Oryzias latipes: one gene and its partner. The main gene of each other region encodes a partner of the protein of the gene in region 2 in a complex. Links are inferred from orthologs where the notes say so. Each region holds a gene or a part of one and is shown on either strand. Other genes may lie near its edges. The genes, in order: rint1 and nbas.

Evidence for each region.
Region 1: nbas (region 2) and rint1 share a complex: the UniProt entries of both Homo sapiens proteins name them as parts of the NRZ complex. The link is inferred for Oryzias latipes from reciprocal best matches to the Homo sapiens genes NBAS and RINT1.

Annotation. Positions count from the first base shown.
Region 1 is NC_019881.2:11,299,168-11,302,794, reverse strand, and holds part of rint1 (RAD50-interacting protein 1), read right to left. Parts: intron 3,146-3,627; coding exon 3,008-3,145; intron 2,931-3,007; coding exon 2,836-2,930; intron 1,694-2,835; coding exon 1,589-1,693; intron 988-1,588; coding exon 767-987; intron 488-766; coding exon 307-487; intron 1-306. UniProt on the Homo sapiens protein: Involved in regulation of membrane traffic between the Golgi and the endoplasmic reticulum (ER); the function is proposed to depend on its association in the NRZ complex which is believed to play a role in SNARE assembly at the ER.
Region 2 is NC_019882.2:14,745,613-14,749,433, reverse strand, and holds part of nbas (neuroblastoma-amplified sequence), read left to right. Parts: intron 1-1,238; coding exon 1,239-1,377; intron 1,378-1,451; coding exon 1,452-1,517; intron 1,518-1,582; coding exon 1,583-1,711; intron 1,712-2,742; coding exon 2,743-2,806; intron 2,807-3,240; coding exon 3,241-3,434; intron 3,435-3,821. UniProt on the Homo sapiens protein: Involved in Golgi-to-endoplasmic reticulum (ER) retrograde transport; the function is proposed to depend on its association in the NRZ complex which is believed to play a role in SNARE assembly at the ER. Required for normal embryonic development.

The DNA of each region.
Region 1 (3,627 bases), on a different chromosome or scaffold from region 2:
CCAGACAAAAGGCTCATGCAGGTCAGTGTTTCATTTAATGTTGAAGAAGCATTCTGCTTTTGATAGGGTTAAAAAAAAACATGGCTTCATAAACCTATGCTTATTATCTAGGTTATTTTATGCCCCCCCCCCCCTTGGATTAAATGCTCATTTCACAGCCCATATGTCTTTAGTAAACAGATTCATTGCTTTGTTTCCTTCTCAGATCAATTCCACATAAACTTTTGTCAATGCTCCCATCTTTGTTGTCCTGTTAGCCCCCCCCATCCTGACCAGCGCAGGCATCTGAGGGCGTTCACGTCTTACATCTTGGTAGAGGAAATGGTCAAGCCTCTCTGCCAGGCCCTGCCACGCCAGCTGGAACAGAGGAAGACTCAGAACCTGATGAAGGTTCAGCAGTCTGTCCCGCACACAGAGCATCATGGGACAGGCCGAGCCCGACAGGGACATGATGGACTGATCTTGCTGGGATGGAAGAGACAACCACCTGAAGGACGGACAGGGTAAAAGTCAGAGCACATGTTCACGGACTTCAGACCTTGGTGGTCTTCTGTAAACTGCAGCAATCTGCACAGTAAAAAGGCTTTTTGGATCCTGAGATGTGGGGTAATCATTTTTGAATTAACTGAAATAAAAGGGATTTTAAGCCTTTTGCCAGAGAAACCAGCAGGTCAGAGACCAGACGTTCAAGCATGTCCTGGCTGGCCCTGCCGTGGGGTGAACCCCTGTTTCCGCCTCAGAGGTCATCAGTGGGGAGAGGTCTCACCTTTCCTGACAATAGGGTTTGGCTTTTTCTGAGATTTCTCTCATGAGGAAATCCAGCAGTCTTCCCAGCATGTCTCCTTTCAAGCGGTCCAGCAAAGCCAGGAGTCCATCAAAAAGAGATCCCTCCAAAGAAGCCAGGCGACCCACTTCCATCATGCTGCGGCCCCCCAGGACCTCGTCCTCACCCAGCGACACCGCCGCCTGCTGCAGCTGCAGGAAAAACTGGTGGAGGAAGAGATGCACGGCTGAAAGGGCAGTGACAAAACCCAAAGAGATAAAATCCGGATTCACAGACAGCCGACATGCAGTATCAGCACAGTTTTACCATCATTCCTGTAGTGTGGCAGGCTAATCAACTGATGGACATACAAGGTGTGATTGCATGCTACAAATTCTGAATTCATATAGCGGTGCCAGTCGTTCGTGGCCCCAGATTTGAGAAAAGTCTGAGTCCTCTGCAGAAGAATTGGGGGCTCGTCCGGGATGAACCGGTGCACAGATGTGCAGCTTGTTCTAAATTAATGTTCCCCTTGTGAAATTCATAGAATTGGAAATCATTGGTGCTGTGTACTAATCTAATACTTTACAACCAAGAATAAACATAAACATGGCTTTTGTTCTGTTGGCTAATTTTCCCCTTATAACTATTTATTTTAACTTGTTTATTACAAATAAAAATCCTGTTGTTTTTGCTGTTTTTTCTAGCGTGTTGCTTTGTTTCCTATTTGCTTTCCTGTAAATTCTTGGTGTTTCAAGTCGACCTGAAGAAGTTATCTCAGAGGCAAAGTATCAGTTATATTGAGTTTTTCAATAAAACACCAACCACGTCGTCTGCCCAGTCTCTCAGGATGGTGGAAATGTAGTTAACGGCATTAAGGATGGCACAATAACGGACACCGAGTGGACATCGAGACTCCTCTTTCATGACCTGAAAAACAAGAAAAGGTAGGGACTCAAACCTTAAAAAAAAAAACGAGCATGTTGTGTTCATAGCAGACCGTAGACACAGGTAAATTACTGAAGATAAAAACCTTTCTGCAGCTCTAATGCTACTTACACCCCGACATGTGATGTTCAAGCATGCGCCGAACGTAGGTTCTTGAACACACTTTTAGCATACGCTGTTCACAATGAACTGTCACTACACGATACTAGATGGAAGAGGCTTGGTGCAAAGTGTCAAAGAGGTGCAAATCTGGTGAATCTAGCTTCATTATTTTGTCTTTTACAGCTCTATTCCGATATATGAAAGACTTGGTGTCACAGAATTGCAGTCGGAGACATTACACTATCATTTATTTCTCCTTCATGATCGATTTTCGTATGTGTTTTGAAAAAGACGTCATCTATACATCACTACCAAATCAGAGTCCCTGATTGATTTGTACGTAGAGCCCCAAAACTGACTTAAAAAACTAGTGTAGCTACACGTGACTTTTCATTGGAAGTGGTCGCAAGAACACGCAGTGTGAACATAGCATAAGTGGTGAAATAACTGACCACAAATGCTTCCTTCTAATGTTTGCGCTTTTTTCAATCTGCTTGGAGAATCCGGGCAGCCAGGACCACTAATCCACCTCACATGACGGACTCCTGAGCTTTCTTCCATTTCCTTCACATTACTGCGTTAAATACTTTGAACCTTGCTCAAACCAAACATTTCTCAGATTTCTCTTCAACTCATAAACTCCACCACCTCAGGTGTGAAGTTCCTGCACAGGACTGTGATTGTCTTTTAAATCACAAGCTAATTATCAAATAACAAGTTCCTGATTTGGATATGGATCCATTCATATAAAGATTTGGCTGTGGTGGGTCGCCTTCAAGCAAAAAGAGGTTTTTTTCCGAACTGTCAAAAAAGTAGAAAAAAGTTAAAAATTGGGTTTTTAACATGTTCATGTAGCATTTTTCTCATGATGGAGGACATATGTATGGAGAATTAAGATAAAAAGGCCTGTCTGAGTATTTCTTTATTTGAAACACGGCATAATCATAAATAAAAGACCACTAGATCAAAAGATGATGGGAGTGGGACTTTAAAGTCTGGAGTAGACAGAGGGACGGTCTCACCTGTGTCAGTCGGATTCGGAAGTCATCAACCAGCTCCTTCTGAAGCTCCAGGAACTTGAGCTGCGCAGACGGGGAGGGCAGGGCCCGGTACCGCTCTGCAGAACAGCGGGGGTCTCTGTTGGTGGAGTCTTCAGAGAAGTGAAAGCTACCAAAACATAAGCAGGGTTCTCACCTGTGATGACCTGCAGCAGCGTCATGAAGGTCTCAGCGCAGTCCGGAGCCTTCAGCTCGTCCATGTCACTGATGTCTTTGTACTGAGAGCTCCACGCTCCGTCAGTGGACAGCATGGCGTCCATCTTCTCCACAGCCACTGAAAGCACAGGTCACACCTGTCTGTCTGTCTGTCTGTCCTGCACAGGTAAGGCGGAGCTTGTTTGGGGAAGTGATTTCAGTGTTTTAGGTTCACCAGGATTCAATGACTGAAATGCATTTGAACTAAAAGTTGGAATACTGATTTGAGAAAATGTGATTTCCTTTATTTTGTTATTTTTAAAGTAAGAATTGATCATTTTAATATTCTTTTTTTGTTTTTTATAGTGAAACAAAACTGATTTCAAAATAGAAATAAAAAAATTAAAGTAAACGTTTTTAAACTGAATCTGAATTGAAATAGTGAAATTTGTCTTTTTGCTTTTACTTTAATCTGTTTTAATCGTTTCATTTCCAAACCAGTTTTTCCTTTAAAAAAAGTGTTTTAGAGTTTAAAACTACACAAAAGTGGAACTACAATGATTATAATCAGCATTATATCCATTTAGAAAAACCAAGATTTATTTGCTGCAATATTTGAAG
Region 2 (3,821 bases):
TTGAAATCAGTTTTCACCCTGAACCAGTCCGGAGACGACGGCGTGTTAGGAATTGTGCTCAACATTTAAATAATTATTTCACAAATTTCCTTCTCTTTCATCATTTTGACAACTGAGAGCGCTGTCGATTTGCTCTGTTTTATGTCGATTTCAGCGTTGGCGCTAAATGTAAGTTAACCTCATGAGAACTTCTAGTGGTTTTAATGCAGCCTAAAGCATAAACTGTTAAAGGATCAGGTGTTACCGACCAGAAAAAACTGCTGTTTTTGAGGAGAGTGAGAGGGAAATTGGGATTGAGCTACATTTATCATGTTGGAACTGAGATAAAGAACATGTGAGGTTTCTCACACAGACTCCTGCAGAAGGCTTTTTGCACTGTCCAATGAGGCCAAGAAGCTTACTCAGGAATAAATGAAGCAATCTCTTTAATGTAATACCTGTAGGAATTGACTGCAGCAGCGCCGAATGCCCTTGGCCTGTTTCACCACATTGTATTCATTGGGTTTGCTTCATTATTTCTGGCTCGCAGTTATGGCCGTGCTGTTTTCACCAGAGTCCCCACTCTGCACAAACCGGGTTTGCTTTGGCCGGTAAAACCTGGCTCGGCAGCCTAATGAGGTTTGGCAGCTACTGTCAATGTTTGCCAAATGATAGATGAGATGAAACATTAATGACTCCTGTGTGAAAACTGGGTCAACATCAAAGAGAACGGAGGGATGTGGAGAAGTAAAGGTGGAAACCCCTGATATGAAGCATGGTACTTTAAAAACACACTAGAAGATGTGCACGCTTTCCTTTTTTGCATAACATTCAGATAAATGTGCTTTAGGAATATTAAAAAAACAAATTGAAGTGAATATTTTTAAGTAAAAATTCACAGGCTATAAAATAAATGTGTCGTATAAGATCCACTGTATGTTTAATTTACAGAATATGTCTCAGAAATGTTTGTTCATTAAATAATTCCACAGATCTGAAATTAAATACTCAGAATTTCTGCACTAGGGGGCACTGTTGAGCTAAACAGGTTAAGAAAACAACTCTTTTCTTTTTTTTTTTAAACTGAGTTTCATGTTTTCTCACAAGAGTTTTACTCAAATATTAGCAAGCATTGCTTTGCTACAAAGCATCCCAATAATGATAATTTTTACTCGAACTTTGACCTTAAACCTTTGTTTCGGTTTTTAGTTCTTGTTGTGAAGCCGTTATTGCTGGTCACGCCACATGTCTTTTTGCAGGTTGCTGCTGGTGGGGGGCTGTGAATCAGGAGAGGACGGCGCCTCCAAGGCCACTCGCAGCGGCCTCACGGCCTGGAGGGCTCTCTCCAGTTCACCGCACTACAAGCAGGTCACCAGCTATGAGGACGATGTCCGCCTGGTCAGGCTTCCACACACAGACATTTTCACAAATGCCCTAATGTTGTGTCCTAATACACACATTTTTTGTGTCAGAACCAGAAGAAAGGCCTCCTCAGGATTCCCAGCTTTAGATTCTTTCCCAGACAGGGAGATGAAAAGGTATGAGAGTGCTCTCCTCCCTGTGAGAATCCTCCAGGCCCCTGACTGTTGTGTTTGTTGCTCAGGACGGCGTGTTTCGTATGAGTTTGAGCCCTGACGGCCGCCTGCTGGCTGTCATCCACTTCTCTGGACGCCTGTCTGTCTGGGACATCCCCTCTTTCAAACAGAGGGCGTCATGGAAACAGGACCAACAGGTACACATCTTAACCGCTTTTAAACTGCGTGGCTCCCTAAGGCACTCATAGTTTTGCTTTAAGTCCCAATTCCATCATCTCTATATCTCTTTTAAAATTGTTCCCTGTGGTCTTTTAATTTAGAATATGCTGTTTTTAGACAAAATCCCCAAATCCTGTGTTGTTTTCTAGGACATAGTTTTTGCAGAGTGGCAGAAGTTAATTAGAAATTCACCTCTGAGTTGTGGGTGGGACTGACCAACCCCACCCTCCCTTCCCATCACCTATAAGTGAGCTATCTGTGTGCACTCTCACAATAGCTCACAGAGCTTTAACCCCTCAACCTAACAGTAACCACGAAAATGGAGGGCAATAGTGGAGCTATCCAGCCGTACAGCTTTGATCCAGATTCCAGCTCAGACTAGAAAAATAAAGATGTACATGGATCTAGTTTTCTACAAGTGGATGCATCAGAATTGAGCGGAGCAGGGAGCTTGTGGCCTGCCCGGCGTACTTTCTGTGTAACAAATATATTATTTTTCAAATGTAACTTTTTTTATCTGCTCCTGATTGTCGACAATTTATAGAAAGGAAAAACTCAGGGAGGCAATTGTGAGCTTGATTTGCTCCATCATCAGAAATTATGCCCCAAAAAATGTTAAAAACACCAAAAGCACAATTTTCATCTGAGTGGATGTTTAAAAAGAAAAAAGGAAAATATCCTTTGTTCGCTTTTCTGCATATATGTTATAAACAAGTTGCTTAACTAGCTTTATTTAGTGTAATCTCTCTAGTTGAGGTGGAAGTGTGTACGTTTTAGAGAATTTCATGCATTTCTCGCTTCCCTGACACCAAAAGCGAGGAGGCTTATGGAAAAGCTTATATTCGCAGGATGTTTTTGCCGACTAATGCGGGGTGTGTGTATGTTCTGCTTCACTGCTGCCAGAGCTTGTGTGCGCTGTAAGAGTAAACAGGGTTAGCAGATTAATTTCTCACCCCCTCTACACCTCCTCCATCTCTTTGGTGCCTCCATCTTTTGGTCCTCCCTGCAGCCGGGATTTGAAGAGATCAACCCAGAGTGGAAGACATCACTGGAGAGAAGGAAGAAAATAAAAGGTATTTGGGCCTAAAGGGCTAAAAGAAGCCATCTTTGTTGCTGATACAGCATTGCACTTTGGATACAATTGAATGATCTTTGACACATGGGATTCGCTGCATTACACAGTTTTTAGGGTGTGCAGACTTTGTATGGTGGGGTTCGCTGGGATTTTTTGTAGTTGAATGTAAACTTTGACAGTTTTGGGCCAGTAGGAATGACAGTTTTGACAGCTTTTGCAAGCAATAATCCATGTTTGTGTCCTCAACTCAAGCATGACAAGAGATTTCAACATCTATAAATATGTCAAGGAGGGAGAAACCAATCAAAAAAATTCTGGTTCAGATAAGAAATCTTCCAAAATAAGAGAGGAGGATTATAAATTTGAAACTCGGGTATGACAGGACAAAGGAGATGTTTCCTCTGGATTTATGTCTTCTCATACCCACCCCAGATAAGGAGCAGTACTACCCACTGGTGGATGTGAATTGGTGGAGTGACGGCGTGTTGATTCTTGCTCGCTGCTCTGGATCAGTCACTGTCTCATCGGTCAGAACATTACGCAACCTTTTGGGGAAGTCCTGTGAATGGTTTGAGCCCTCACCGCGAGTCGCTGCAGCCCATGACGGCGGCTTTCTCAGCCTGGAGGTACGTCCCATGAAAGCTGAAAGAATGAGATTCGAAAAGATTTGAAGGAATAACCCTCCCAGACCAAAATAAAAGGGAAAATATATCTTGTTTGTCCTTTTATCTTAATGACGGCAATGATGTGCCCTAAAAAACCTATTGAAAATTTAAAAATGCTGATCCAAAGTCACAATCATGCAAAAATGCAAAAAAAATGCAGGATAATGTTTTTCCAGCGCATCACATGGACCTTAACTTGGTCAAGCAGCAACCTTTAAGTTTCCATGTTGAATCTCTTTCAAAAACTACAGACAGGTGCAGTTTTAAAAAATAACCACTGGGGCCTTGCCTTGGAAGGTGTCAGTCCAGATTTGGGTAAGAAGACCTGGCTGCAGAAATCTGTGTCCA